Linked DNA regions of Saccharomyces cerevisiae S288C. Changing the gene in region 2 together with the main gene of any one other region gives a genetic interaction. Each region holds a gene or a part of one and is shown on either strand. Other genes may lie near its edges.

The links.
Region 1: mutations in ISW2 (region 2) and IES3 together harm fitness more than expected from each alone (negative genetic interaction), as found in Saccharomyces cerevisiae (4 studies listed by BioGRID, with this or other methods).
Region 3: mutations in ISW2 (region 2) and NRG1 together harm fitness more than expected from each alone (negative genetic interaction), as found in Saccharomyces cerevisiae (3 studies listed by BioGRID).
Region 4: mutations in ISW2 (region 2) and IES5 together harm fitness more than expected from each alone (negative genetic interaction), as found in Saccharomyces cerevisiae (5 studies listed by BioGRID, with this or other methods).

Annotation. Positions count from the first base shown.
Region 1 is NC_001144.5:242,556-250,291, reverse strand, and holds IES3 (Ies3p), read right to left. Parts: upstream 3,092-7,736; coding exon 2,339-3,091; downstream 1-2,338. Other genes in the region: OSW2 (Osw2p), read left to right, coding at 1-1,575; NRS1 (Nrs1p), read left to right, coding at 1,866-2,192; FCF2 (Fcf2p), read left to right, coding at 3,315-3,968; EMA19 (Ema19p), read left to right, coding at 4,220-4,705; MLO50 (Mlo50p), read left to right, coding at 5,120-6,406; 40S ribosomal protein uS2 RPS0B, read right to left, coding at 6,943-7,611. UniProt on the Saccharomyces cerevisiae protein: Probably involved in transcription regulation via its interaction with the INO80 complex, a chromatin-remodeling complex.
Region 2 is NC_001147.6:879,660-890,114, forward strand, and holds ISW2 (DNA translocase), read left to right. Parts: upstream 1-4,854; coding exon 4,855-8,217; downstream 8,218-10,455. Other genes in the region: BUD7 (exomer complex subunit), read left to right, coding at 1-1,016; RAX1 (Rax1p), read left to right, coding at 1,306-2,613; YOR302W (uncharacterized protein), read left to right, coding at 3,106-3,183; carbamoyl-phosphate synthase (glutamine-hydrolyzing) CPA1, read left to right, coding at 3,240-4,475; BIL1 (Bil1p), read right to left, coding at 8,861-9,091; RRG7 (Rrg7p), read left to right, coding at 9,363-10,091; MCH5 (riboflavin transporter), read right to left, coding at 10,208-10,455. UniProt on the Saccharomyces cerevisiae protein: Catalytic component of the ISW2 complex, which acts in remodeling the chromatin by catalyzing an ATP-dependent alteration in the structure of nucleosomal DNA.
Region 3 is NC_001136.10:541,283-548,075, reverse strand, and holds NRG1 (transcriptional regulator NRG1), read left to right. Parts: upstream 1-4,706; coding exon 4,707-5,402; downstream 5,403-6,793. Other genes in the region: DNA-directed RNA polymerase III core subunit RPC11, read left to right, coding at 1-98; HEM13 (coproporphyrinogen oxidase), read right to left, coding at 448-1,434. UniProt on the Saccharomyces cerevisiae protein: Transcriptional repressor involved in regulation of glucose repression. Binds to UAS-1 in the STA1 promoter.
Region 4 is NC_001137.3:338,538-345,890, forward strand, and holds IES5 (Ies5p), read left to right. Parts: upstream 1-4,317; coding exon 4,318-4,695; downstream 4,696-7,353. Other genes in the region: anthranilate synthase TRP2, read left to right, coding at 1-935; MET6 (5-methyltetrahydropteroyltriglutamate-homocysteine S-methyltransferase), read right to left, coding at 1,327-3,630; TORC2 complex subunit TSC11, read right to left, coding at 4,783-7,353.

The DNA.
Region 1 (7,736 bases), on a different chromosome or scaffold from region 2:
CGCAGGTTCCTTCTTGGATTGACCGTTGCGAAATGGATGAAATCTAAATTAATTTTGGACCCAAAACAAATGGCATTGAAAATGTGGGAATTGCTTATTCCTAAAATCTCACTTAACATCCTTTCTATCATCTATGAACAATTTGATTATGAGAAAATGTTAGAAAACAAATCCACAGAAATTATTTTTAAAGATCTGGTGAAAGAGTTACTTGGAATTTGCTTTGCACAATGTGGAAGCAAAATTGCAAGGTTTTTGCTAGTAAAATCACAAGGTGAAGAAGAGATTAATTTTGGGAAAATCGTAGAATATTGCAAAGGTAAAAAACTGCAACTTATCAACTCTACGGCAAACGAACATCCGGAATATTTATCCTTACCGTTTGAGCCTTATTGTTTCTACCACCGATTTGAATATCCTGCTCAAATTCTTTTGCATCAGCCCATCATTTTGGCCAAAAAGTATGGTGTTTCGTGTTCAAATTTAAATTTCCTATATGGATTCTATACGAGGTTACTGACACTAAGTGGGCTATCAATAAATGGTGGAAGGTGTGAGCATGCCTTGTCGATGTTGGACAGCAGGATTGGTGGTGGTATTAACGTTGCTTCAGGAATTAATAGCGGCCAAGATTTTACCGATGGTGATAACGAGGATCAAGATAAAGGCAAAAACAGAGTGGACAAAAATGTAAAGGAAGGTTCTTTCATTAGTTTAACACAACGATTCACGATGACAAGTCCACTGGGTGTCAATGATCCAGCTTTACCAGCGGACTTAGAAAAGTTGTATTTAGGTGCAGAATACATTAGCAATTGCGACGCAAATACATCTGGTGGTCAAAAACGAGTAAAATCTCCAACTAAAGCAGATACAGGCTACGATGATAAACACTTGCCTGATGATACGATACATACATTTGAAGATGAATATTTGGCCGATGAAGACGACTTTTCTTGCCTTGGAATTGACAAAAGAAGCTCAACAAAGCCCACAAAGCCTCTAGAAAAATTTGGAGTGGTTGCTGTGCCACACTTCATCAGGAGGTTTTCTATTAAAAGGTCGAGTAAGGATAAATCAAATGATATGAAAAGACCATATACTACAAGCAGCTTGGAGTTGCAATTAAGGTCAAATCACTTTATGTTCGCCAAAGAATACCAAGACTTACATAGACAATTATATTACGAAGTTAAACCAAGGACGCAATCAGAATTGGACGCAAGACGTCGAAACTATTCTGAATTAGAATCTCAGATGTGGAAAATTAAACATCGGTTCAATATTCATAGAGGAGCACTGCCTCGTCCACGAACGAATCCGTATGAGCTATTACTGGACCACATTGATGTTTTGAACCGTGGCAACACTGGGGATATTTTGAGATTTACCACTAGTAGATACGGTGGTGTAGATACGTATGATTCCATCTTGAGGGACCAATCCACGATCATGGAACTTTTAGATAAACGGTGTGCCTATTCACCTCCAGTACTGTTCGATAATGAGGCTAAAGAACGTGATCATGATCGCGATTGTTATCAAGATTACAATCACGACCACCGGAGTCATTAATATTAAAAAAAAAAAATGTGATTGTTAATAAGGGGTGGGATGCGCGAAATTCTATGCCTACAGTAGAAAGCGGTTGTTGCACAAATGATTAAATCTTTATCTCCAACTCACAATACTATCGCGATAGATGCATAATATGTGCAGCTTCTAAACAGCACGGAGTGATGATAAATACGCATATATGTATATATATATGTATGTGCATATGCACGTCCTTTTAAAACTCAAAATACAACATTCTTAGTAAATCCTTTTGTTGACACACGTCGGAACAACTCAGGACGGAGTTAATGGATATGCTTCATAATAAATGTAGTGATGCTATCAAAAGCACCTCCAATAGCAATTTGAGTAATGAGGTAGACAAACAAAAATTGCAATACGATGACCTCGGGAACACCGGATTTTCTGAACTATTTGAGATGGAATCTCAAGATAATAATGATAGCATAGAGGATTTCTTGTTCTTTAATATAAATTTAACCCAGGAGGTTGAGTTCGAGAACCAAAGACAATATGAGCACACGAAAAAGACAAAGAAGCATAACCCATTCTATGTACCGTCAGAGGTAGTGCGAGAGATGGTCAAGAAACACGCATTGAATGGCAGAATATAGTTAAGCCCGATAACACATTCTATTTTTCATGTTTTAATAACGTTTCATATATGAATTTTTCTCAAATATACGATATATACCTAAATGAATATGCATATGGAAGTGAAGTTGGGGATTTTGCAAACTTGTCTTATGTTAATCTTGGCTTAAAGAATGTTTTCCAAAAGGCCGTTCTTATTAATTTTTCTTCTCTTGGTTCTGTTAAATGCTAGTGAATTCGCATTGACGTTCGTTGGTATGGCTACTGCTCCGAATGCGATTGGATGGCTTGCCTTCCTGCCACGATTACTGAACAAATCGAGTTCTACATTTGCATCCAACAGTAGTTCTTTCAATATAAACCACTTTCTTTCTTTCTGTGAAAGTTTTTGGTACTCTTCAAGCAAGTTCTCTTGGATTTTGGTCAGTATATCAATTTTTTCATCATCTGATAAGTCAGGGTCCTCAGTTTCTTGGTCCTGCTCCGCTGCATTTAATGTTACAATTTGGTCATTGACAGCTTGTAAAAAGTTGTCATTCATAGCGTAAAGATTGTCCTTGTACAACCTTGTCTTGAGGGTGCTTATATCTATCTCATCTTGGTTAGCGTTCGTTATTACATTCCCTGGAGAATTCTTTATCATTTCATAGTTCATTTTCGATATGTCATCCACGGCAACAATGTGTCTTTTGAATGTCGTGGTGTTTGTGTGAGTGGAAGCAGTTGAGGCGGCATTTGCATCGGTAGCTGTAGATGGGGTCGAAGAACCTTGTTGATTCAAGCCATCTGCGTTATGAAATTTTTTGTGATGTGGGTCTTTCTCCAAGAAATCTGGAGTTTTGACACTTTTGTAATGTTGAGTAGCTGCATGAGCAAACTGCACCTGTTTATTGGTTGCCAAGAGGTCTTCGAACTTCATTGTTATGATTCCATTGAAGACAGCTATGTCAGTTAACAACGCAATTCCCCCTTTCACACGAAAACCTTTTCTCTAAACATCCTTCTCTTTTATCATAATTCGTGGTTAGTGCCGGCCTAAAAATTTTTCAGCATATTAAAACAGAAGATAGAAAAGAAATAGAAAATGCGATGAGACGTCAAGTTTTCCAATTAAAGAGGACGTGAGAAAGGAGCTGTTAAACATGGATCAAAGTGTGGAAGACTTATTTGGAGCACTAAGAGATGCTAGTGCCAGTCTAGAAGTAAAAAATTCAGCGAAGGAACAAGTTTCTCTTCAACAAGAGGATGTTTTGCAGATAGGCAATAATGATGATGAAGTAGAAATTGAAAGTAAATTTCAAGAGATCGAAACTAATCTTAAGAAGCTTCCTAAGTTAGAAACCGGATTTGATGCTTTAGCAAACAAGAAGAAGAAGAAGAACGTCTTGCCTAGTGTGGAGACAGAAGATAAAAGAAAACCCAACAAGAGCGACAAAAACGATAATGACTGGTTTACCTTACCAAAGCCAGATGATAACATGCGTCGTGAAGTTCAACGAGATTTATTGCTGATTAAACATAGAGCTGCTCTTGATCCAAAGAGACATTATAAGAAGCAACGTTGGGAGGTGCCAGAGAGGTTTGCTATTGGTACCATAATTGAAGACAAGAGTGAGTTTTATAGTAGTCGTATGAACAGGAAGGAAAGAAAGTCGACTATTTTGGAAACACTCATGGGTGATGAAGCTTCTAATAAGTATTTCAAGCGTAAATACAACGAAATTCAGGAGAAATCTACGAGCGGTAGGAAGGCACATTACAAGAAAATGAAAGAGATGAGAAAGAAGCGGAGGTGAGATAATGGAATTTTCTTCGCCACGTATTCCATATAGTATATTGTAAAGTGGTTTAGATTACATAGAAATATTCAAAAGAATTAATAATTTGCATATCGTTTAAAAAAAAAAAACCTTTGAAAACATAGTAAAGAATTATCGGCTTTTGTACAGGATACGAATTAGTAGGTATAAAAGGAACAACCGCAGCAAATAAGTACGAGAAACGAGCCACTCACGTGAAAACATATAGAGAAAAGCGACCGGAGATAATGAAGCTAGGACATCGTGAGCAACAATTCTACTTGTGGTACTTCATCGTTCACATTCCCATCACCATATTCATCGACTCATCAGTGGTTATTCCCGCTAAATGGCAACTAGGGATTGCGCAAAAGGTTGTTAGTGATCACATCGCAAAGCAACACGATTTCCTGCTATCAGAGAAACCAGAATGGCTATACTGGTTTGTAGTCCTTGAGCTAGTTCTGCAACTACCCCTTTTCGTCTATTTCGTCAATAAATTCTGGAATTCAAGCGAATTACAAGTTAATACAAATAGCAGATTGAAAAAGTGGTTGCGTATCTATGGCTGGAATGCCTCTCTAACTACCTTGATATGTATCGTTGTTATTTTCAAGCGTGGTTACATTCCTTACGATGTGCTAAAAACAAGCTTGTCCATGACCCAGAAGTGTCAGTTAGCCTCGGTGTACCTACCTACATTCCTAATTCCTTTGCGTTTGTGTTTTGTGTAGCCTGTGTCGGCTATATATACAGTATTAGTGACTATATAGTTAATTAGTGACATATGCCACTAGTTTTATCTAATTATTGTGCTGCGTTTTGCAGTATTCTTTTTTATTTGAAACGCGTCACAAAAGTTTCGCGTCCTTAGGGAAATGGCTGGTTTTTGTTTTAAAATAGTATATTATCCTTGATGTAATTTAGCAAGAGTGTATTGTAAGGGAACAGTCTGTTACTGCCATTCCCTCATCGCTAGATCCCCCTTCCCTCGCTTATTCCGTTACTTTCGCTTTACTGAGCCATAACCAAGCGCACGCATACATATATATATATATATATATTGTGCTGCACGTATATATAAATAAATCACGCGTACAAGGATACGTTAGCCAAATTCTTTGGATATAACAAAACAGCTACAACTCATGGTTAATAATATCATGCACGAGTACGTACCACCCAGTCAGCGGCTATTCCATAGCAGGCATAGAATAACAAGAAACGATTTGAAAGAAGAGGCCCTACATTCCGGGACCACAGATTGGACAACAATTCTGGACACAACAATAGATAAAGATACTAATCTCATTAGTTATGCTGTCCCCATAATAGACAACTTTGCCATTCCTCGAGCAAACTCTCAGGGGAGTCCTGTGGCCCCTTCGCCGAATCACAGATCAACGATGTACTCTTCTTCATCTTCTTCTGCGTCTTCTGTGTTTTCTGATGGTTTGTTTACTCCAAACAACAACAGGAACTCATCAGGATCATCTTCATTAGTCATTAGACCACAAAAAAATTTGAGTGTAGATTCTTTGATTCAGGAAAATAAAAGGAAAATCAATAGTGAAAAAGAATCGTTATCATTAATTGCCAATAATAACGATGAAACCTTGTGCACTCATACTGATCCATCCATACAAAACCTCATTAAATCGGAAACAAAGAGGAACATCTTAAATTTAAAGTTTCAAAATAGAAACTTATTTCGAAGAGAACTAAAATTGGAAAAGTTTTGGAGCAATTTGAGAAGTTGTCATACATCTGGCGATGAGACGGACCTGCTGTTGGTGATAAGTAAGCATAACTTATATTGGTTTGGGATACCGAACGATTTTCGTCTTCCAATATACAAGAGATGTTTATATCACTATAGCGAACTAGACGAAGCCGGATTTTTCAGTCAGTATGCGAACAACTCATTGTATCTAGCAATAAGGAAATGTTGTAACAACGAAGAGCAGGAAACTCTATCCCGGTCTATTTTCATCAATTTGACGAAAAACGTTACCTGGTTGAATAGTCGTTTCGATGACAATAAGGACAACAAGAATTCTTACACGGTTACTGAGGGGAAGTTCTATCAGGACTTTCCTAACTTATACTACCATTTAAAGGACAAGTTGAAATTAAATGTGATAATGGATTTCATCAAGCCTGTAATAAGAAATTTTATGACCAACGCATTGAATAAGCACAAATTAGATGGTATTGGTCTAGAACTTTTAGATATTCTAATAGTGACTACCTATTATGGTCCGAATAAAATCAATGCTTTCTTAATGGATACATTTATCTTAAACTTGCTAAAACAGTGCCATTACAAGTTTTTTGTCAGTAATATCTCTGAGCTGGTTATTCAAATTTCTAAAATCGATTGTGACTTAGTCATTCTGCTAGAAGATTTAAGGTCACGGATTGATTTAGATTGAGCAAGGGGTAAGAGAGAAGGCAGGTATTTCTCCTGGAAGAATATATATATATATATATGTATAACGAAAGCAAAATAAATACTCGGGTGAACCCGTCATGGCGAATAGTGCAAATTTAATTAATAATAAAAATGAAATATCAGAACTAAACATTAATTTAACTTATCTTCAATACTATAGATAGTCAGCCTTCCCGCTAAAGAATTTAATTATTGAAACCACTTACCTAATAAAAAAAAAAGCGTAATAATGGCCAAATGACTTGAATATAAAAGGACAAAAGCATAAACTTTTAAAATATTATAATTTTTGAATTTGGTTAAAAATTTTTATACTATGATTGCATTAAAAATACAGATAGATGATGACGCTTCAGAGAGAAGCAAATATATATGAGATAAAGATAAACGATAGATGAATTTAAAAAAAAAATGAAAAAGAAAAATTAGAAAAGGAAGTGATACTTCTGTCTCTTTTTTTATCTCTCTTTCTCAATTCCTTACAATATTCACACACATTGCAAGGTTTTCAAATGATTACCATTCAACGTTGTCTGCATTTTCTTCAGCCCATTCAGTAGCTTCAGCTTGACCTTCAGTGACTTCTTCCTTAACTTCTTCTTCTTCACCTTCTTCAGCGGCAGCAGCTTCTTCAGCAACTTGCTCAACTTCTTCTGGGTTTCTGTAGAAGTACAAATCTGGCATGATGGACCATGGTTGAGTTCTGTCGACCAAAGCACCTCTTAGTCTCAAAACTTCTCTAGCCAACAAGTACCAGATTAAACCGATGGAGTGCTTACCTCTGTTGTTACATGGGATGGCGACATCAACAAATTCAGATGGGGAGTCCAAATCAGTCAAAGCAATGACTGGAATGTTAACGTAAGAAGCTTCCTTAATGGCCTGAGCGTCTAATCTTGGGTCGGTAACAATAACCAATCTTGGTTCCTTGAAAGAACGGGTGATGTAATTAGTGAAAGAACCTGGAGTGAATCTACCGGCGATTGGAGTAGCACCAGTGTGAGCAGCAAATTTCAAGACAGCTCTTTGACCGTAGGTTCTGGAAGAGATGGCAACAACATCTTCTGGGTTTGGAATGGCAGCAATAATTCTAGCAGCCAAAACCAACTTTTCCCAGGTCTTACCAACATTGATAACGTGAACACCATCTGGTCTAGCATTGAAAACGTATGGTTCTTGGTGGACCTAAAAAAAGAGAGGAAAGATAAATTATGTTAGTAAGAGCGTTCATTTGTGCATATATAATGTTTTCTTCCATATCCAATAAAGTACCGAATTATATCCCGTGGAATTTTTTGACGTTTTACTGT
Region 2 (10,455 bases):
GGTATCTTTTATCCAAGGTGTATGTAAAGCTAAATGATATTGAAAATGCCTTACTGATACTGAATTCATGCCCTATGTCTCCATTAAAGGAAAAATACGTACTGAAAAGAGTAGCTCCGTTGCCTTCGAATAATAGTCTTCATTTGCCATTGCCAATTGACGTTGTACTGGATGAAGTGACGTCGTTGAATCCACAAGACGTTCAGAATGAACACCGCTCTGCGGATCCAATGCTGGTCAATTTAGCTGCGTCGAACTTGAAATCTACTTTCCAATTGGCATACCGATTATTGACAGAAATTGTGCAGATCACCGGCTGGGAAAATCTGTTAAAGTACAGATCAAACATTTTCGTTATGGAAGAAGAGTACCAAAAATCATCATCTTCGTTACCAAAGGACGTTAACAAACAAGAAGAACAGCCTCTGAGGGCTAAACGGCTGTGTGAACGATGGTTAGACAACCTCTTCATGCTTTTATATGAAGACCTGAAGATGTATACATTATGGCAAACCGAACAACTGTACATGGATGCACAGAATAACAACCACAATAAGTTGACTTTCGAATGGGAGTTATTTGGCCTTTGTGCACGTCGACTGGGCCATTTCCCTGAGGCCGCCAAGGCCTTCCAGAACGGTTTATCGCAGAGATTTTCATCAAGGTGCGCGAGGAAACTGCTGGAATATTGTATAAACGAACGCCAACGGGTCAAAAATTTTATAAACTCACCTAATTCGCATGACATGGTCCCTGAAATAGTAAGCTCACGCATAAGAGAGCTAGACAATAGCATTATCGACCTTTGCGTGAAGATATGCTGCTGGAACCACCGTTGGTATACGGAATTTTCCATAAGTTTACTTGATTGTTTAAGTGTGGTTATTCAAGATATGAGTCTGACCAAAGTTTCGAATGAAATCTCGTCAAGATATCCAGAAACTGTTCTCAACTTGGTGCAGGAGAATTTGCTCAATTTCTTCACTACTTGCACCATTGGATGCTACGATGCATAAATACGATAAAAAGACATTAATACGTATATATAATCCAAAAAAAATTGGCGATACGCTTCAACGTTGTGTCAAACTCTTGGGTCACTTTAAAGAAAACCCAGCATACATTAATACAGAGCAATGCTGGTTATGTAACTTCGCCGCCCGCCGCCATTCGAGGAAAAATATTCGTGTTTCGAGAATGCGGGCAAAACGAAAATATCAATAAAACACATACGGGAAATTCATTGTGCACAACGACCTCTAACAATTTCTGCCAAAAAGAAAGTTCAAGAGCGTCCCATTCATCATGAAGGAAGAGCTCAGCAAAGTGAGCAGTATGCAAAATTTCGAGATGATCCAGCGTGAACGATTGCCAACATTGTATGAAGTGTTAATACAGAGGACATCGCAGCCAGTTGATCTCTGGACTTTTTATACATTTCTTTCACAATTCCCATATGCCATCAACTATCTGGACTTTTGGGTTGACCTTATGACACATACACGACTTTGCAAAAACTACATAGAGTTGGTAAGAAAATCATTAATCAACTTTCCACAAGAACAACAGCAGAATGGAAGTACATCTACGGCTACATTTGACTTGCTGAACGCACTGATAGAAGAAGGGCACCTAGACCCGGAAGCACCTGATAAACTCTTAGAAAATAGCGGCCCAGACGTGCCCTTTTCACCAAAATTAAACGAATTGCTGGGTGATTGGAAGCACCAATCGGGTATCGGTCAAGAAGCCCTGAGAAACGAAGACGTAGCGCTGATCGTCGACGAGATAATGAAAAGGCGCTCCCAACAAGACGGAAAACCGCAGATAACTACAAAACAACTGCTGCACAGCGCAGTTGGTCTCTGCAACACCTATTTAGTATCGCCCGAACAAAGCGAACGGTACCTGAGCAACATCCCCATGGAAACGCGGAACCGCATAATAGAAAGCGTACAAATCGAGCGAAAGTACGACATTGAGATTTTTGACGACCTAAAAAACCTAACTTACCAATTCCTAGAAATGGATTGTTTCCCAAAATTTCTAAGCCGCGTCGCACTACACAACATCCACGATGAAATATCTGATTGGAGATTCCACTCAGTGGGCGTCACCAACGAAAAAAGCAATCGCTCTCGAGGCCAGACGCACATTTCTCGCTCGCCATTCTCCAATCACACGTCAATCAGTCGTATTGGCTTTGGTTTGCTCTGGCTAGGCATCGGCTTTTGGATCGGATATGTTCTAATCTTCCTGGCGTATAGTCGCGCAATCCGTGTCGTTACGGTCGTGCCATTTACACTGGGATGCTACTGCATTGTGTGTGGCATGTATCAAGTGGACATTGTGTATTCCTGGTTTGGCGTCACACAGAGACTTCTCCACAGACACAAAAACGCTGGCAATGACGAAGGAGATGCTTCTAGTGATACCGATCACGTGCCAATGATACTTGCGGTGTTCGGCGGTAGGCGCCGTCTTACCCGCATAGAGCACCCATTTACTCGGCAGCTTCTACGTAAGCGTGGACTGTGGTGTCTGCTTCTCGTAGTGGGTGCCACTGCCGCATTCACAGTTATTTTCAGCTGTGTTCCCGGCCGTCGTGTATGATGTAATCCATCACCCCCCTATAAAAACACCTGTGCACCGCATATTTCCATAGCGCGTGACGCTAAGTACAAGAAACAGCGAGGGGCCGTTAAGTGCAGGCTTTACCGAGGGCGCCGGCTGGCGCTTCCCGTGGAAGGGTGTTTGACTCATCATCGCATCGCATTACCTCATGATGAGTAAATAGTTGCGATTTCACTTATCACCTCTCGCGGAAAAAAAAGGCGATGACATGATATATAAGGCTCTCTCGTAAGACACTTAACTATCCAACGTTCATTAGATTATTCGGTCAATTTCTTTTTTCATGCCCCTCCTTTTTCTTTTCTTTTCTTGACTCGTCGTTTCTTTTTCTTTTTTTTTTTTTTTTTTTTCTTCAGAACTATAACACATAGATACACTCGAACATCTAATTGTTTAAATACTGCAAAGAATACAAGGTAATCGACTCTTCTACATACCCTTTTTGCAGATTTGAAATAAAAAAAACATTATATGTTTAGCTTATCGAACTCTCAATACACCTGCCAAGACTACATATCTGACCACATCTGGAAAACTAGCTCCCACTAATTTCATTGCTTAATAATCAGAAATTCTATCACAAACCACTCCTAAAAATATTTCAAATGTCCTCCGCTGCAACAAAAGCTACTTTCTGTATCCAAAATGGTCCTTCCTTTGAAGGTATATCTTTTGGTGCAAACAAATCTGTTGCTGGTGAAACAGTTTTCACTACTTCTCTGGTTGGTTACCCAGAGTCCATGACTGATCCTTCCTACCGTGGTCAGATATTAGTCTTCACGCAACCCTTGATTGGTAACTACGGTGTCCCATCCGGCGAAGCCCGCGATGAATACAATTTACTGAAGTATTTTGAATCTCCGCATATACATGTGGTCGGCATCGTTGTCGCTGAATATGCTTATCAATATTCGCATTGGACCGCTGTTGAATCTCTGGCACAATGGTGTCAGAGAGAAGGTGTTGCTGCTATTACTGGCGTAGACACCCGTGAACTAGTGCAATACTTGAGGGAACAAGGTTCTTCTTTGGGCCGTATTACGTTGGCTGATCATGACCCTGTCCCCTACGTGAATCCCATGAAAACTAACTTGGTTGCTCAAGTCACCACAAAAAAGCCTTTCCACGTCTCTGCCTTACCTGGGAAGGCTAAGGCAAATGTGGCTCTTATTGACTGTGGTGTTAAAGAAAACATTATCAGATGCCTAGTCAAAAGAGGTGCCAATGTAACTGTTTTCCCCTATGATTACAGAATTCAAGATGTTGCTTCTGAATTCGACGGTATTTTCTTATCCAATGGACCAGGCAACCCAGAACTATGCCAAGCTACAATTTCCAACGTCAGGGAATTACTAAATAACCCTGTTTATGACTGTATCCCTATTTTTGGGATTTGTCTAGGCCATCAACTCTTGGCTCTGGCCTCCGGTGCCTCTACTCACAAATTGAAATATGGTAATAGGGCTCACAACATCCCTGCCATGGATTTGACTACCGGCCAGTGCCACATTACATCTCAAAATCATGGCTATGCAGTTGATCCTGAGACCCTACCAAAGGACCAATGGAAACCTTATTTTGTTAATTTAAACGACAAATCAAACGAAGGCATGATACACCTTCAAAGACCCATATTTTCTACCCAATTTCACCCAGAGGCAAAAGGTGGTCCCTTAGACACAGCTATTCTTTTTGACAAATTCTTCGATAATATAGAAAAATACCAATTACAATCTCAGGCAAAAAGTTCAATCTCACTAAAAGTAACATACAGTACCGATAAATCGAGATTGCAGAGTATAAATGTTACTAAGTTGGCCAAGGAAAGAGTGTTGTTCTAAAAACAAAATTTATACATTACGTAACACATACGTACATCTAAATACGATTCAATTCAGTTCATGGTATTTTGCGCTACTCGTCGTTGCTTAGTATCTACTCGCAGTTGTCATAATTAACGGGCGCTTCTTGTAATTAAATGAACAAAAAAACGTAACGTACGTACAATGGCTCTAATTTCATCCTGCCATCCTAAAAAAAAAATCAAATAAAGCAGACTCAAAAATTTTCAGCTTCAGTTAAATTTTGATAAGTATATTTGCATAACTCAAGGAGTTTGTGCAAACGGTTTTCTTTCTTTGTGGTTTGTTTTATTTACTTTCCAATAATACCCGTCTTGTTGGTTTAAGTCGTAACAAAAGGAAAACTTACAATCAGATCATGACGACCCAGCAAGAGGAGCAACGAAGTGATACCAAGAATAGCAAAAGCGAGTCACCTTCAGAAGTTTTAGTCGATACTCTCGACTCAAAGTCAAATGGCAGTAGTGATGATGATAATATCGGACAAAGTGAAGAGCTATCAGATAAAGAAATATATACAGTAGAAGATAGACCACCAGAATATTGGGCTCAAAGAAAGAAAAAATTCGTACTTGATGTAGATCCAAAATACGCCAAGCAAAAGGACAAGTCCGATACGTACAAAAGATTCAAATATTTATTAGGCGTCACAGACCTTTTCCGTCATTTTATTGGAATTAAGGCAAAACATGATAAAAATATTCAAAAACTCTTAAAACAGTTAGATTCTGATGCAAACAAACTTTCCAAATCACACAGCACCGTCAGTTCGTCATCACGTCACCATAGAAAAACAGAAAAGGAGGAAGATGCTGAATTAATGGCTGATGAGGAAGAAGAGATTGTAGATACATATCAGGAAGACATATTCGTCTCAGAATCTCCCTCCTTCGTCAAGTCAGGAAAATTAAGAGACTATCAAGTTCAAGGCTTAAACTGGTTAATATCGTTGCACGAAAACAAACTATCTGGTATCTTGGCCGATGAAATGGGGCTGGGTAAAACCTTACAAACAATTTCATTCCTAGGTTATTTGAGATACGTCAAACAAATCGAGGGACCCTTTCTAATAATAGTACCGAAGTCAACACTAGATAATTGGAGACGAGAGTTTCTTAAATGGACTCCAAACGTCAATGTCCTTGTGTTACATGGTGATAAAGACACAAGAGCTGATATAGTACGGAATATAATATTAGAAGCTAGATTTGATGTATTGATTACATCTTATGAAATGGTCATTAGAGAAAAGAATGCTTTGAAAAGATTAGCTTGGCAATATATTGTTATTGATGAGGCTCACAGGATCAAAAATGAACAAAGCGCGTTATCTCAAATAATTAGATTATTTTACTCTAAGAATAGATTATTGATTACGGGCACGCCTCTACAAAACAATCTACACGAATTATGGGCCCTGCTAAATTTCTTATTACCTGATATATTTGGAGATTCTGAACTTTTTGATGAATGGTTCGAACAAAACAATTCGGAACAAGATCAAGAAATTGTAATCCAACAGCTACACTCAGTACTAAACCCCTTTTTACTGAGAAGAGTCAAAGCGGATGTCGAAAAATCTTTGCTACCTAAAATCGAAACGAATGTTTACGTGGGGATGACAGACATGCAAATACAATGGTATAAATCATTATTAGAGAAGGATATAGACGCTGTTAACGGTGCTGTTGGAAAAAGAGAAGGCAAAACGAGGTTACTGAATATTGTTATGCAATTAAGGAAATGCTGTAATCATCCATATCTTTTTGAAGGCGCAGAACCTGGACCTCCATACACTACCGATGAACATTTGATTTTCAATTCCGGGAAAATGATTATATTAGATAAGTTACTGAAAAGACTGAAGGAAAAGGGATCTAGAGTATTGATTTTCAGTCAAATGTCGAGACTATTGGATATCTTAGAAGATTATTGCTATTTTAGAGATTTTGAATATTGCAGAATCGACGGTTCTACTAGCCATGAAGAACGTATAGAAGCTATCGATGAGTATAATAAACCTAATTCTGAAAAGTTCGTTTTTTTGCTAACAACACGTGCCGGTGGTTTAGGTATTAACCTTGTCACAGCCGACACTGTTATTCTTTTTGATTCTGATTGGAACCCTCAAGCTGATCTACAAGCAATGGATAGAGCGCATAGAATTGGTCAAAAGAAACAAGTTCATGTTTATAGATTTGTCACAGAAAATGCTATTGAAGAGAAAGTCATTGAGCGTGCCGCACAAAAGCTGAGACTAGACCAGTTGGTTATCCAACAGGGCACGGGCAAGAAAACTGCATCTCTTGGTAACTCAAAGGATGATCTGTTGGATATGATTCAATTTGGCGCTAAAAATATGTTTGAAAAGAAAGCAAGTAAAGTCACTGTTGATGCTGATATCGATGATATTTTGAAAAAGGGGGAACAGAAGACACAAGAACTAAATGCCAAATACCAAAGTTTAGGACTTGACGACTTACAAAAGTTCAATGGGATCGAGAACCAATCTGCTTACGAATGGAATGGTAAAAGCTTTCAAAAAAAATCCAACGACAAAGTAGTTGAATGGATTAATCCTTCCCGAAGAGAAAGAAGAAGAGAGCAAACCACTTATTCAGTTGACGATTATTATAAGGAAATTATTGGTGGTGGCTCTAAATCAGCAAGCAAGCAAACTCCGCAGCCAAAAGCACCCCGCGCTCCAAAGGTTATACACGGTCAAGATTTCCAGTTCTTCCCCAAGGAGTTGGATGCCTTACAAGAAAAGGAACAGCTTTACTTCAAGAAAAAGGTCAACTATAAGGTTACTTCTTATGATATTACGGGAGATATACGTAATGAAGGAAGCGATGCTGAAGAAGAAGAAGGAGAATACAAAAATGCCGCTAATACAGAAGGTCATAAAGGCCATGAGGAACTTAAAAGAAGGATTGAGGAGGAGCAAGAGAAGATTAATTCAGCACCGGATTTTACCCAAGAAGATGAATTACGAAAGCAAGAATTGATATCAAAAGCCTTTACTAACTGGAATAAGAGGGACTTTATGGCGTTTATCAACGCCTGCGCCAAATACGGTAGAGATGATATGGAAAACATTAAGAAATCTATTGATTCCAAAACACCAGAAGAGGTTGAAGTGTATGCAAAAATATTCTGGGAAAGACTAAAGGAAATCAATGGGTGGGAGAAGTATTTACATAATGTAGAACTTGGTGAAAAAAAAAATGAAAAACTGAAATTCCAGGAAACTCTATTGAGGCAGAAAATCGAACAGTGTAAACATCCATTACATGAGCTGATAATACAGTATCCACCTAATAATGCTAGAAGAACTTACAATACCTTAGAAGATAAATTTTTATTATTAGCTGTTAACAAGTACGGACTTCGTGCTGACAAGCTCTATGAAAAATTAAAGCAAGAAATCATGATGAGTGATTTGTTCACTTTTGATTGGTTTATAAAGACAAGAACGGTGCATGAGCTATCAAAAAGAGTCCATACGCTATTAACTTTAATTGTAAGAGAGTATGAGCAACCTGACGCAAATAAGAAGAAAAGGAGTAGAACTTCAGCGACTAGAGAGGATACTCCTTTATCCCAAAATGAAAGCACTAGAGCTTCAACGGTTCCAAATCTCCCGACGACGATGGTGACAAATCAAAAAGATACAAACGATCATGTTGATAAAAGAACCAAAATTGATCAAGAAGCATGAATCATGTATTGTGCATTAAAATAAGTGACGTGAGAGATATAATTTTTTATATTACTTTTTCATTGAATACAATTAAACTAACGAGCCTTATAGACCGCATTATATAATGAACCGTAGCCACTTCTTGACCACTATCTTCAAGTTTGATAATGATAAATGACAGGTAATCATATTTCAGTCACCTTTTTCCCTTCAATGAAATGTGATATCGCTGCAAAAATGGTGAATGAAGAGGACAAATTAAGTCTAACTGGGTCGAGCCGCTTTAACTAATTCATATCCATTCTAAGATAATTGAACTGCTGAAAACTAAAGCCTGCTTTGATACTTGTCATATTGTATTTATCTACAAACTTACATTAACAACAGTGTACTGAATTATAAGAGAGCAATTGCCAAAAAAGTCATTTAGTTAAAACTTCTCCATTTCAAGTTTCCAAGGATAGGTGAAGTGCTATCCCAGAGACTCCAAAAACATGCGAATATATTATTAAGTTTCAGTTGATTAATATTTCTAAACCATATAAAAAAGCACGTATTTGGCACGATCTGTAGTTAATTGCAACCTAGTTACGCGATAGCACGCGTTTTCTTTTTTATGAATAAAAGCATTAGAAGTTTCCATGTTACTACTCACCTGCTCTCACCGACTCATTTTGTTAAGCTTGTCTTCAATTGCTTGTATACTGCGTGAAAACTCATCATCATTTTCCTTCATTTGCCTCTGAACATCCTTTAGTGATTTTTCTATTTCATTTGCCAGGTCAAACACGGTTACAATATTTTCTGTATCTCCCTTTATTGAGTTAGTCTCAGATGTATTGGCCAAGGGAGCCTGTGGTTCCTCCGAAGCTTCCAGTTTTTCAGTACTCATTACAGTGCTCCTTCAGAAGATGCAAGTCACATTTACAATATCATTTAGCGCTAAGGTAAAATGTACCTGTAAGCCAAGCCGCTTCATTGGTTTGCTAGTTTTTTTTTTTTTTTTTTTTTTTTCAAATTATTTATCGAGGCCAACTGAAAAGCAAAACAACATGGTTGATCGATACATAGAAATTAACGACCAGGAAGCGAAATACTGCAGCAAATTTCTAAAGCTTCTTCCTATATAAAACACGGTAAAGAACGGTAAAACATGATAAAACATGATAAAAAACTATTTGGGACGAAGATGGCTCAATAATCCTGCAATTCAAGCATATGTGAAACAAAATGCTGCTGTCGCCCATTCTACGGTGTTTCAAGGAAATCTTTATGAATATACGGTGATGAGGGAGTTATCTGAGAAACTACGAATGACAAAGTTGAGAAAAACCGGTGGCGCCCATGATGGTGGCGTAGACATAAAGGGAAGCTGGCCAGTAGATGATATTTATTGGAAAATTTCATCGTTAATGCCCAATTTGGAAATGGCTAGTAACATAAAAAGAACGAACTCGCAAAATGGCTTCGTATTGAAACCTTTAAAGTATAGGATAATCGACCATACTTTTGAACCATTGAAAGTACTAGTCCAATGTAAGGCTTTCACTAAATCAAAATTATCTCCTAGAGAATTCCGTGAGTTAGTAGGAACATTCACCTCACTAGTATCACATAGTCAACGCAACAAAACAGTATGCATTATGTGTTCCCCTCATATGTTAACAAAAGATACCTTAAATCTTATCAATAACATCACGCTTCCTCTGATATATTTACGTGTTGAGATGCTGAAAGAGAAGACTGACGGGCACTTTGACTTAATCAATTCAGGAAAACTAATTAATTATTACGAGAATTCATACGCCTCTACGTTAATGCAAGATTGCAAGATTTCTGAATGGCTGAAGTTGAAGTTGTACAAAAATAGTGACTTTAATTCGGAAAAATAAAAAAAAAAAAAAAAACATAAGGAAATTTTAATTAAATAGTCTATCTACACATTTCCTAAAAGAAAATATTATTGCATTACTTTTTTGAAGATCTATAAAGGGCACTGTCTTACTTTTTAAAATCTGACCCACTTGAAGCCAACACAGTATGCTCTCGAAATTATGTAGCAAACAGCGCTTACAAAAGTTGCCAAACCGCAAAAAATAATATAGTGTTGGTAATCGGCCGTTGTCTTGATAGAGATAATGGCACCTGTTATCGGAATGCCGACTAAAGTACCGAAACCGACAACGAAGTACATTGTAGAGTAACGTTTACCGAACTCTTCCGTTTTAGATATCTGGCCACAGCAAACAGGAAGTA
Region 3 (6,793 bases), on a different chromosome or scaffold from region 2:
GTGCTTACTTTTTCCAACTACAAATTAGGTCAGCTGATGAGCCGATGACTACCTTTTATAAGTGTGTAAACTGTGGTCATAGATGGAAGGAAAATTAAGAAGTCCTTGAATATAAGATGAATTTTCTAAGAATAAAAAGAGTAATAAAAACATCTTAAAATTTGATTAGAAGGCATGATCGCATATTGAGAATGAAGGCTGCTGCCATATTTTTAGAGCAATAGATACTGATATAATTTTTGATCCTGCACGTACTGTGAACTTGCATCATAAATAGGACGCAATAATTAATATTTTTAAGAATAGAGATCCTGTATCAATTGAATTTGAAGAATTATGTAAAGGAGGTATAATAAATAGATAAAAAAATGTATAAATAAGTGGTCGAAATAATTAAATCATCATTGTCATTGAGATCATAAAATCGGTCTGCTAAAGAACCTTGAATTATTTAACCCACTCTCTTGGTTTGGTGGTAACTTCTAGTAATTTAGCTTCTCTGGAACCAGGAGCAGGGTGGTGGTTGTATAACCATGAAGCATGTTCAGGCAAACTCATCAAAATTGACTCAACTCTAGAGCCTGGGGTTCTCAAACCGAATTGGGTACCTCTATCGTAGATTAAGTTGAATTCAACGTATCTACCACGTCTAATGGCCTGCCATTGTTGTTCTTCCTTTGTATATGGCATATCTTTTCTTCTCTTGACGATAGTCAAGTAGGATGGCAAGAAAGCATCGAAACAGTCTTCAACCATCTTCAATATTTCTTGTGGGTCACGTTCATCATAATCGTCAAAGAATATACCACCAATACCACGTGTTTCCTTACGGTGGGTAATGTAGAAGTACTCATCACACCATTTCTTGAAACGTGGGTACAAAGCAGTGTCGTGCTTGTCCAAGGCATCCTTGTGCAGTTGGTGGAATAATTGACCGTCTTCTTCGTATAAGTAAGAAGGTGTCAAATCAGCACCACCACCAAACCACCAAGTTTGTGGGGTCCCATCTTGGTTCCAAGTTTCGAAGTAACGGTAGTTTAAGTGCGTGGTTGGAGCGTGTGGGTTAACGGGATGAATGACCATACTTAAACCACAAGCGAAGAACTTGACACCGTCGGTAACTGGCAAACCAGTCTTTGGATCTTCTGGTAGACGCAGATTCTTATGATCAGCTTTCATGGCTGAAACGGCCGCTGGGCTCAATTGACCATAAACAACGGAGACATTAACACCACCTTTTTCGAAAGTTGTACCGTCTTGGATAACCATAGAGGTACCACCACCACCATCGTTACCACGGGTCCAAGTATCAGCGTGGAACTTAACAGTATCGATGGATTCCAAACCTTGCGTGATTTCAGCTTGTTTGCGACGGATAAGAGCTTCCATTTGTTGTCTAATTGGAAGATTCCTTGGATCTTGAGGGGCAGGCATCTTTATGTGTATTTAATTGTGTTCGAAGAGTTCGGTTTGCTATGTTTGATTTGCGAAAAGAAAGCTTTTGATATGCTCAAAAAAAGAAAACCCGGAGAATAAAAGCTTAACAAAGAAAGACAATAGGTGGAAAAAAAAAGGAAAATCCGTGTCCTTATATAGCCTTTCGAAACGAGAACAATGGGCAAAGCAAGCTTTATCTTCGGATCGTCCGTCAGCGCTTTGGTTGCAGTCTTATGCTTTGTTCAAGCTGGAGCGTTATTGGTGGGAGAACCAGAAAAGGCGAAAGCGTAGCGTTCTTTGAAATTTGGCTTCTGTTCCTGCGACTCGTTTAAAAGTAGAAGGGCCCGCGGAGCCGCTGTGAAAGATTTCTTTTACTCTTTCAGCGCAGAAATCTCGCAGGAGCTCAGCAGAAAGTGCCTATGACGGTAATCCCAGGGGCTAATGGTGTGAAGGCACTTTCTAAACAATTGAAATTAAAATACCGTGCCTATAGTAACTTTTTTTTACGCTGTGAACCGTTCAACACACAGTAAAAACTCCGCAGGAAATGGTTTGAAGAATCTTAATCACGAATTAGGCGTATTGTTTTTCCCAACAGTGAACGAGAGGACAAACTCCAGAGGATTTGCGGGCTTGATGATAAAATGTATTGTTGAAAAGATCGCGAATGCAACAATTACGGTGGGGAGAAATATCAACAAAAGGGCAAGGCTATGCCTTCTGGAAAGTGGCAGACTTGCACTTTCCTCGAAAAGAAAAATGACCGCAAGATCCGGTTGTTCTCAACCTTCTACATTAAGACATACTTCTACGATTTTCGAATGCCGAAGCAACTATCGCTGAAATTTGTCATGTCAAAATTGCTACTGGGGGAGAAGAATATATATGGAAGTAATTATTATTTACGTTGCTGAAATGGCAGGTTAGACGCATGTTTTGCAAAATAAGTGGTTTTGAAAAGAATTGATACTAGGAATCGGTGCAATACCTTCTACCTTTCTTAATAGGTATTCTTGAATAATCTACCTCACTTTCTGTCCCAGATACGAGATGTCGAGCGCCTCGAAAATAGATATCGTTTATTACGTTAGATACGGAAAGGTCTACGTGTCATAATAAATTGCATCTGGATTGCGATTTTGGGTCATGCCTAACTGGGAAAATATTTACATCTCCATGTTCTCATTCTGCCTTTGCTTTCCTTCAAAACATGGTTTTCAATTCAACCTAGGGTCTACCGCGGAACCATATGTACGCCGTAAATGCGAGTGTTCTTGAAAGGTAGTAATGTGTTCCCTCTCAATATGTAAGTCCTTCAAGAGTATGCACTTGCAGTTGCACTGTTTCGGGTAATTATCCGTCATTAAGAAAAAGATGCTTCCACTTTCTCGTGTTTTTACGCACAATCGTGCCATTTAACCGGAAATAGACTCCATTGCATTGATTGCTCTCATAAAAATTATAGCCCGCGTTTGATACTTGTTTAAAATAGGTGTCGACAAAGTTAGTTTCTGTCTTCCATTTAGTTTTTACAATATGACACGTCAAATAAATCTTTTCGATTTAGTTAAAAGAGTTACCTGGCGATAGCCTTCTGGTAAAACACCTATTCATAAAACAATCTTAAAAAACCAAAAAATTACCAAACAACTATGTAGGACATATTTTTACAGTTCATAAAAACGCTTCGAGCTGCCGATATCGGTATCAAACACCAAAATATACATAGTGCTGGTTTAAGCCAGAATATCTTGGTGAAGCTGCGCCTATATGCCTTGTATTTAAAACAAGTCACGAAAAGCTATTGCCAAAGGAACATAAAAACTCGTATCTATGTTATATTATAAAAAAGATATAATATTTATATATTATTATTAATATTATTTTTTAGTTCCGAAAGGAGAAACTTATAATTTTTATATCATTATTTATTATTATTTTTAATTTCAACTCCTTTTATACCTATTACTGCATGTGGAGAAAAGATTAAACCAGGCGAGGCAATTTACACTTATTCATTGAGATAAGATGAAAGAGCCACGCCTCGTTACATTTAGGCTACATCATATAACAACTAGTCCCAGCCTCCCCCCTTCCCCACCTTGGAGTACTTTTCTCCAGAAATAGAAAGCTAAGAATCAAAATCGCACCATTACGTATGAGCTCATTTGCCGTCTTTTCCCCGACAATCCGGCACAAAATCTGGCTACCCGTCGTATGTATGGTAGACGATATTATGTACTCTAGTAATGCTATGTACGAATAGTTTCAGACGGGCACAGGGACCTAGAACGCCAAGCGCAAAAAAAAGCTGATAGGAATTCGACGTCACGAACCCTTGGAGTAAAAGAAAACTAAAATATACGAACTTCGCGGAAAATAAAAAACTTTTCCTTCAGTTGTTCCTCGTTCGAAACAGTAATCTACACGGACCGTTGCTTATTTTTAGCCAGATTCTAGTTAAATAAAAAAAAAAGAAATAAAATTAAAAAAAAATTAAACTGTGGCAGATAAGCCTTTCTAATCGAGGCAGTGTGTTTCTTTTGACTTCACCGTTTGTCTTCGCATAGTTCCCCTAAATATTCTAACTAGAAAAATCGCTAGTATTTTTCTACTTATAAGTTGATTTTCCGCATATTTGTCTTTGAAACGTTTGAGACAGGGAAAACTCTGTTTTCTAAAAGAGGAAAAAGCAAAATGAAGTATTGGCTTGGTTGCGGTCAACACCCTCAGGGAAAGCCAAGAAATGCTTTTTACTGTTTAGCAGTGAAAAGGCCGCACCGGAAAAGAAGGGAAAAATTCATTGGGTCTAGATTTTTCTTATCGGTAAAAGACTATGGCCTCTTGAGGACCCTTAAGCGTGAAACGAAACGCGTTGAGCGCGCAGAGGGGCTTCGCCGCCGGTCAGGGTGTTTGGGGTGTTTTTTCTTTTAATTATTCTCTTGGCAGTGTCATCTTTCTACAGTCTGGCTGCAGGCTCCTTTTCCGTTATTCATATATAAGGAAGAGAACTTTCCAAACCCAAATTAAAAAAAATTTGGTTCCCATCTCTTAACTAAAAGAAATTATATTACTCCACCTCGTTTACAGTTTTTTGATGCTATAAGGGAATTCTGCAGCTTTTGAAAGTAAAAATCATATCGTATACGATTCTGCAAAGTATTATTGTACTGTAATTCCTACCATTACGGCGCCTTTTTCTACCATTCACCTTTCTTGGATTGTTCCTCTCGACCAGCATATTACTACCCTTCGCAAACTTTCAGGCAATGTTTTACCCATATAACTATAGTAACCTCAATGTTTCTACTATGCCCGCACTGCCGGGAATCTCCGCATTTGATGGAATGCAAGATGAAGAAAACGTTGAAATAAGCCCGGAAAGAAAATATCAGACGCTACTACCAGTTCTAACTAATTCTCATGTGGTAGAGAATGAACTAAAACACAAATTAAATAAGACTGCTTTTGATTTCCGATACCAAACCAAATCAGAAAATGGCTCTGAAAAGTGGGAGCCAAAATACTTAATAACGCCTAATTTACAAACAAGAAGCGTCTCTTTTGACAATTCATCGGTACAATATAATTCAGATTCATCCGAAAAAAGCTCGCTATCACAACTAACTTGTAATTCATCAATAATACAACAGCCTGAGAACGGAATAGTTTCTAATGATGCATATAATAAGATGGCAAATAGTAGATACTCTCTGAAAACGCGGAAGCAAAGAACAGATCCAAGAAATACGTTATCAGATGAGGAAGACCTTGAACAAAGGCGCAAATACATTTGCAAAATTTGCGCAAGAGGATTCACTACATCGGGTCATTTAGCAAGGCATAATAGAATTCATACGGGCGAAAAAAATCATTGTTGTCCGTATAAGGGATGCACGCAGCGATTCAGTCGACATGATAATTGCTTGCAACACTATAGAACACATTTGAAAAAGGGACAATAATTGACGGTATACCCGTGTTTTTCTCATTAGCAGTACTACTATTCCGCACTTTACATCATTTTTTATAAACTCATGCATACATACATTGTACTTCAAAAGATTTTTTTTTTTTTTTGGCATCATAAATCACTTTCAGATCAGTTTCCTTTCAAACGCGCGGCATTAAGAAAACTTTTAATGTCAAAAAAACGGAAGCAAAAACCCCTCCCTTCCGCTTAAGATCATGTCTGGACATTTTAGTTGTAAGGCTGCGCCTCGGTAGCAAGTAGTGCTGCAACAAGGCTATTATGCCACCTAAACAGACCACTTTTGCTTAATACGAGACTGTGACTACCTCCTGACTTCCTGTCATAACAAAAAAACAGACGTCGCTGCATTAACATTTACAACCCCAAACCTTCTTCATTCATTGCTTTTCTTTTAGAAACTGTGGCTTTTTGACATTTGCAGTTTGCATAGTTACTTTTTGATCACTAACAACGATATATTATCGTTGAACAATTTACTACGCAAAACAGTTCACGTGATGTACGTCAGATAATTCACTGAAGGTACTACCTTTCGAGCATCTCTTACAGCAATGGTAACAGCTCATTGAAGAAGAAAAAAATAAGACAAATTTTTTTAGAGCTGCAAGCGTTTTACTAGGCATCAGAACTGTCTCCGAACAATAGTATAGTTAATTATTATACTTCAACCCTAGAAGAAATACCCGAAGATGTAAGGATGTTTTTGTTCCTATAAGCTTTTTTTTTTCACAAAATTTTCATCCACTCTACGTCTTCCATACGGTCATATAAAAGGTGCCATATCCTCGGCCAAGACAAAAGGCTTCAGCTCCATATCTTTTGAAATCATGTAAACGCATGGGGCTCAAGTACTGAGCAAAGTAGGAGAAAGGATATTGAACATGTTCAGAAGAACGTGGTATCTTTTTCCTTATTATACATTCTCTTGGCGAGTGATCGAAAATATATATGATGATATCCTATAACAACAACAACATGAATTTCTTCGTCCGAATCCTTTATAGGTGGAAACAAACTTTGACAATAGCTTTTTAACACTGATAATATATTTTCGCGTCATTCTTGCTGATTTTCTTTTTTCTTATTCTTATTGTGCTTCATCCTCCATCTTCAATGGCGGTAACGTAAATCAGAGTAGCTTTCATTTTCTTTATTTCTGTTTCTGTTTCGCGTCGGGATAACAAAGCGTACTTACTAATGGCTATTATTTTTGCTAATGACACAAAATCCTGTTACCAATTTCCAAGAAGAAAGGCGGATAACAGGGAAAAATTTGAATCTGTGTATCTGCAGTACAAATATTATATATTGGAAGAACACGCACTTATATCTTCTTCATGTTTGTCATTTTATTAGAAACTT
Region 4 (7,353 bases), on a different chromosome or scaffold from region 2:
CTGATATCGTATCAAAGCTAACCGACGATTCCTCGCCAATACCATATCCAGAACAACCTCCTATTAAATTGAATCAAACTTTTGAATCGAATGTGGGCAAGGAAGGTTACGAAAATCACGTCTCCACTTTGAAGAAGCATATTAAGAAAGGTGATATTATTCAAGGTGTGCCATCGCAAAGAGTGGCAAGGCCAACTTCGTTACATCCTTTCAATATTTACAGACATTTACGTACAGTGAACCCATCTCCTTACCTGTTTTATATTGATTGTTTGGATTTCCAAATCATTGGTGCATCTCCAGAATTGTTGTGCAAATCGGATTCCAAAAATAGAGTCATTACCCATCCAATTGCTGGTACTGTCAAACGTGGGGCTACTACTGAAGAGGATGATGCTTTAGCGGACCAATTACGTGGCTCGTTAAAAGACCGTGCAGAACATGTTATGCTGGTAGATTTAGCAAGAAACGATATTAACAGAATTTGTGACCCATTAACAACAAGTGTCGATAAACTGTTAACTATTCAAAAATTTTCTCATGTCCAACATCTGGTTTCTCAAGTCAGCGGTGTTCTCCGCCCAGAAAAGACAAGATTTGATGCATTCAGATCGATTTTCCCTGCAGGTACTGTCAGTGGTGCTCCAAAGGTTAGAGCCATGGAATTGATTGCCGAACTAGAAGGAGAAAGGCGTGGGGTTTATGCAGGCGCCGTAGGTCATTGGTCATACGACGGTAAAACAATGGACAATTGTATCGCTTTAAGGACTATGGTCTATAAAGATGGCATTGCTTACTTGCAAGCTGGCGGTGGTATTGTTTACGATTCAGATGAGTACGATGAATATGTCGAAACCATGAATAAAATGATGGCCAATCACAGTACTATTGTGCAAGCAGAAGAATTGTGGGCCGATATCGTAGGATCAGCTTAAAAAGGGCATTCTCTGTTTTTTTCCCCTTAGACGACATTTTTATAGTTTTCGAATAATATGATATAATGATGTATAGCAGGATCCTGAAAAGTATTATTCTTTCGACATATACATTTGGTCCGACTTACAACCAAAAAATTTTTGTTCAAAAAATATAGGAAATTTTAGAAAACGAATGTTGAATGCGTTATAAATAATACAGAATGTACGTGTATATAAAAATATAATAAAAAAAATGCAAGAGTTATGGCTTTGTAATAAAATTGATATCAAAAAATTACCCAAATAAACTTTTAAATGTGAACACAAAAATTAAATCACCGATGTTGAATCCCAGAATAAAAAACAAAAAGTTCAGAAAATATCATTACTTTGCTTCCTTTTTAAAACCTTAATTCTTGTATTGTTCACGGAAGTACTTGGCGGCTTCGACCATATGAGTCAAAGACAATCTAGTTTCTTCCCAGCCTCTAGTCTTCAAACCACAATCTGGGTTAACCCAGAACTTTTCAGCTGGGTAGCTCTTCAAGATGGTTGAAATCTTGGCGATAAATTCATCCTTTGATGGAATTCTTGGAGAATGAATATCGAATAAACCTAGACCAATGTGGTTTGGATAGTTTTTGAATTCAGCAATGTAGTTAGCATCGTCCTTCTTAGAGAATTCGATGGAAACAACATCAGCATCCAAAGCCTTGATATGGTTTGGATCCAAGTCAGAGTAACAGAAATGAGAGTGTATTTGAGTCTTGTTAGCAACACCAGAAGTAGCAACTCTGAAAGCTTCGGCAGCCCAGGTGTAGTAAGCAGATCTCTCAGTACCTTCTCTCAATGGTAAACCTTCTCTTAAAGCTGGTTCATCAACTTGGATAACCTTGATACCGGCAGCTTCCAAATCATTGACTTCATCTCTCAAAGCCAAAGCTAATTGCATAGCTTGAGTTTTTTGGTCGACATCGTCTCTTGGGAAAGACCATCTCAAACAGGTAATTGGACCAGTCAACATACCCTTTACTGGCTTAGAAGTGATGGATTGAGCGTAAACAGATTCCTTGACGGACATAGCCTTTGGTCTGGACAAGTCACCAACAATAATTGGTGGTCTGACATATCTGGAACCGTAAGATTGAACCCAACCGTTAACAGTGAAAGCATAACCGTTGATTTGTTCACCGAAGTATTGAACCATATCGTTTCTTTCTGGTTCACCGTGGACTAAGACATCCAAACCAATTTCTTCTTGGAATCTGATGACCTTTTCAATTTCAGAATTGATGAATTTTTCATATTCTTCAGCAGAGATGGTGCCCTTGTTGAATTTGTTTCTGTTAATTCTGATGTCCTTGGTTTGAGGGAAGGAACCAATAGTTGTTGTTGGGAACAATGGCAAGTTGAAGACTTTTTGTTGTTCAGGCAATCTTTGTTCAAATGGAGCTGCTCTAGTAGACATTTTTTCGTCGATAGAGGCAACTCTGGCCTTAACGGCAGCATCGTGGATAAACTTGGATTTACCTCTGGATTCAACAGATTTAGCGTTAGCTTCTAGGGCAGCAGCAACGTCTTGACCGGAAACGTTCTTGGTGATCACAACAACTTCATCCAATTTTTGAGTGGCGAAAGAGAAAAAGCCCTTGATTTCAGCGTCCAACTTGGTTTCGTTGTTCAAATCAACTGGTGTGTGCAATAGAGAAGAAGAAGTGGCAACAACGACTCTGTCAGCACCCAACTTTTCAATAGCCTTGTTAACGATAGCGGAAGACTTCTTGAAATCATTCTTCCAAATGTTTCTACCATCAACAATACCAACGGACAAGGTTTGTTTGTTACCAATGGCGGCAACGACTTCATCAAATTGTTCTGGAGCTCTAACAAAGTCAACGTGTAAGGCAGCAACTGGCAAGCCCTTGATGGCGTCTAAGTTAGGGACAACGGTACCGAAGTAAGTAGCCAAAGTAATCTTTGGTAGATTGCTTTGTTCACCGAAGTAAGTGTAAGCCTTCTTAATGGCGGCTTGGGCGTTGGCAGGCAAGTCCAAAACTAAGACAGGTTCGTCAATTTGAACTTCAGTGGCACCAGCAGAAGCCAATTTAGATAGGATTTCAGTGTATAGAGGCAACAATTGTTCCAATAGGGACAATGGTTCCAAATCTAGAGAATCCTTGTCAGCCTTACCCAAGAATAAGTAAGAAACTGGACCCAACAAGACAGGTCTAGTATGAATACCTAACTCCTTGGCTTCCAAAAATTCGTCAACTGGCTTTTGGCCGTTCAACTTAAATTGAGTGGTCTTGGAGAAAGTTGGTCTAACGTAATGGTAGTTAGAGTCGAACCATTTAACCATTTCCAAAGCAGTGACGTCGACAGCCTTTTCAGTTTCAGTGGCCTTTCTTTGTAAACCTCTACCCATAGCAAACAAAGTGTCGATTGGAGATAGATCGTACTTAGTGTAACGGTCTGGAATGACATTGAACAACAAAGACAAATCCAAAACTTGGTCGTAAAAGGAGAAGTCATTGGATGGGATGATATCAACACCAGCCTCCTTTTGCAACTTCCAGTTTTGAGTTCTCAAATCCTTACCGACCTTGAATAATTCATCGACAGTGATTTTACCGTTCCAGTAACCTTCAGTGGCCTTCTTTAATTCTCTGTTTGGACCGATTCTTGGGAACCCTAAGACAGCAGATTGAACCATTTTTGATATGTACTTTGAAATTATATTGGTATTTTGTTTCTTAGAGTGTTGTCAATGCTCTTAGATGCTTGCTTTTTTATGATAAAGGAAGAGTTTAACAAAAATATTGAATACGTAAAAGAGAAACTAATGCTAGTAAAGATGGAAATATCTATCACTTATATAGAATTTTTTTTTCTTTCCTTTTTTTCTTTCGCAGTTGGGAAAACTAGCTAGCTTCCCTTAAATTAGTGCATCTATCGCATTTGTTCCATATTCACATTCACAGTTCTCAATTGAGCAGAACGAGCTATGACTACCACAGTTTTGCGACCGGGAGATAGAGCGAAAGAGCTGCCATGACTGCGATGACTCTAGCGAAAAATATTGGCCTTTTGCACGTTCGCGACTAAACGAGTTCGATAGTAGTCCCGTTTCTGGTTTTTTCCCTTTACCGGCCCACATTTTTTCACCTGACTCCGGTCCTGACGTACGACTCTGTTTGTAAGTCACGTGAAATATTTCCTGTGGCTTTTACTAGTAATGTGCACGTGATGTGGCGTGATGGTCCTTTACCCGGAGTGCGGGACCCTGGTTCATGAAAAATTGTGTGAAATCAACTGCATTTTTGGAAGCGAAAAAGATGATGAACCTGAGTTGAATGGCTGTGGGAAACCAATACTTGACTGATTATAAAACAAGAAAAAAATGCCTAGTAAAGATCCAGAGAGCGTTATAGACAAAGAAATACGGAAGATATCAGCAAGAAATGATGAGCTTATCAAACAGGATGGGACTCTAAAAAGGGAATACACTACATTATTGAGAAAAGTATCGAGCGTGATAACGGTACTGAACAGTATTGATGATGCAGATACTGGTTCTGCTGAAACGGAACTCCCACGCTTAATATCTCAAGCAACAGTAGAGAAAGTACCCGAATTGAAGTGGTACAATGATCAGATATCACTGATTACAGAAAAGTTGGAGGACGATGAAGATATTGAGGTTCCCGAGGAGCTAATGGATGCTTATACTCTGTACAAGGAAACCCCATTATTATATAATGATACGCACACACCATAACGGTTTTGTATGCTGTGGTGTAGGGAAGTGCCTGGGTCTATGGAATATTGTGACTATATACATTTATACATGCGGCCCTTTTTTGCTCTAACGTGTAAAATTAGCCGGCCTTTTGTCCCTTTTGTTGTCGTGCCTGATGACATTTTCAAGCGCTCTATTGTTAATAAATAGTCCGCAAAGAAACTTCCTAACATGTGGCTTAAACCGATACTTCGACATCATATTAAATACTTTGAAGAACATTTTCTCGTTTTCAAAAAGCCTTGGACCGTATTTATTGTTTATTTCTGTAATCTCCTTCACTGCGTGATTTGAAAGGATATGATTGCCTAGCTGACTTACTATATGTAGTACCTTGCTCTCGATGGAGTCATCGTCATTGCGGTATTGTGTAACATAGGGAGAAGAAAGGCCTTCGTTTGCGAAAAGACTACTATTTTCACCTGAAACAGTGATAGTTTGACTTGTGATATCGTTGTCGTATTTATTAGTAATGATTTTTTCATTTAATGGATTCTCTGCGGTATCTTTCTCTTTGAGTAGTTTGTCCAAATCAAATTCGATGGGTAAGCATTTTTCTATCAAGTCGCCATCGCTTTTATTAAAAACAATCATCTCATCAGAATACTCGCCAAATGCGGACCATTTGTGTTCGTTATACGATAGAAATCTATCGAGCCTATTTGGTAGTGCGATCCCGATAGGCTCATCTTGTACACTGACACAACAGTTCCATCCCATCTCGTCTAGAATTTCGCAACCCTCGCGGGTCATGCTGATTAATCCCAGAACATAAAATGCTGTAAACCTAACGCTGGTTACGCTGGCATTGTAGGCCACCTCGATAATATCTTCCACCAATGAGTAGTTATCTAGTAGACCTATCCCCAATTCTGTGGATCCGATAAACCCAACACACCATAATGCTGCTTTTAAGTCGAGAATTTCTTTGGCATTTTCTACTGTGGCCATATTGTTTCCGTTGACGTATTTTTTTATAACGTTCATGAAAGTAACCAAATCTCCTGTTTGGCTTAATAGTAATATTCCGTCTTCTGTTTTCGTTAGACTTTCATAAAAATGCAATGGCAGGCGACTCTTTTGTTGAAATGTGAGGGATTTTGCATTAATTGATTCATTTTTCTTCAGGAATTCCTCCACAATATGAACATACTCAATGTTTTTTTTAGATAACCACGAATCCCTTTCCTCCTTCACAAAATTGATTTCGTTCAACAACTGGAACCCGTATGGGCGGCTTAATAACTCGAAAAGTATTGGAGACCTAATGAATACCATTTGGTTTAAAAACATCCTAAATGAGGTGCCCAGCTCTTCAGAGCCATTGCCCGCGACAATACATTCATATAAAGCTTGGTCTGCTACGGCGACTACGCTGGGGCTCAGGTCGTATAGTTGCCTTGTTAACATTTCCATTTTGAATTGCTGCAGTTTCACTTTATTCGCTTTTAACTTAAGATCACTTTCTTTCGTGGATAACAGTTCTTTTAGTTTATCGCCTATATGCTTTGTAGCCTCAATCCTAACTTTCTCATTGGCCACTACAAGGGCCTTGCCGATAATGACGCGGCAATGTGATGAATATTTCAAATCTAATTCTGGTATTGTTAATAATAGAAACTCAAGCCCCAGTTTCGATTCAAATTGAAACATCTTATAGATTACGGTAAAAAAATTCCACCTCGTTAGGATATGAACCCCATTCTTTGACTGCGTCAATATTCCGATGAATTTGAAGTATCCAAATATTATTTTTTCTCGTAGTTTATTCTTGTTGAAGATGTTGCCTGATATATTTCCCTCCATTGCTCTAAACATTAAAGACGCCAGTTGCGGTATAATTTTTGTATCATCCATAAGGATTTTCATTCCTTCTGGAGTCGCCGTTAGTGTTTTGAAAAACTGGCATCCAACTTGTACATACTTTTGAGATAATTTTGCGCCTTTATTGACGTTGGAAAATCTCAATCTGAGTGGTCTGTAAAACACCAAAAGTCTTCTGATGAATTTGGTTGATTTAACTAATTCTTCTAGTTGCTTTTTATTTAGTAATGGTCCTTCAAGTAATTCGTTAATTATGTTCCAATTCCATCGCGTAAAATCCTTCGTTTGCAAAACTTTAGAGTCATAAACCATTCTTCTAAATCGGAAATCATCTACTTCGCGGAGAAGAGTATTCTCTTTAATATTTTTGGAAAATGATTTTATATTTTGAGCATAATCAATGCCCGACATGCCAATTGTATTCCTGTTTCTATTCATTTTATAAGCGATCTTCTTGAACTGGAATGTTTCATTGACGTAAGTGAAGTTCTCCTTGTAAATTGGTTTTGATACTGAAGTATACTTTTTATCGACTAAATTCATTCTTAAATTAAAATATTCGGTAAGAAGATATCTGCCTTTTGCTACCAAGTGATCATCTCTATCTTCTTCGTTCAAAAGTTCAAGGAGGTGGGGTACAAATTCCGAGTTCTCCAGAATTAGCACAATTAAGGCTAGCCGTTGATTCACAGACATACACTCTTTGTAGTACTGAGATGGGATTGGTTTGAAAGAATGAGAATGTCTGCCCCTTGGCTTGTATGGTAGTGGTTTGATTTTCAAAACATCAAGAAAGATGTCGATAAGATATTG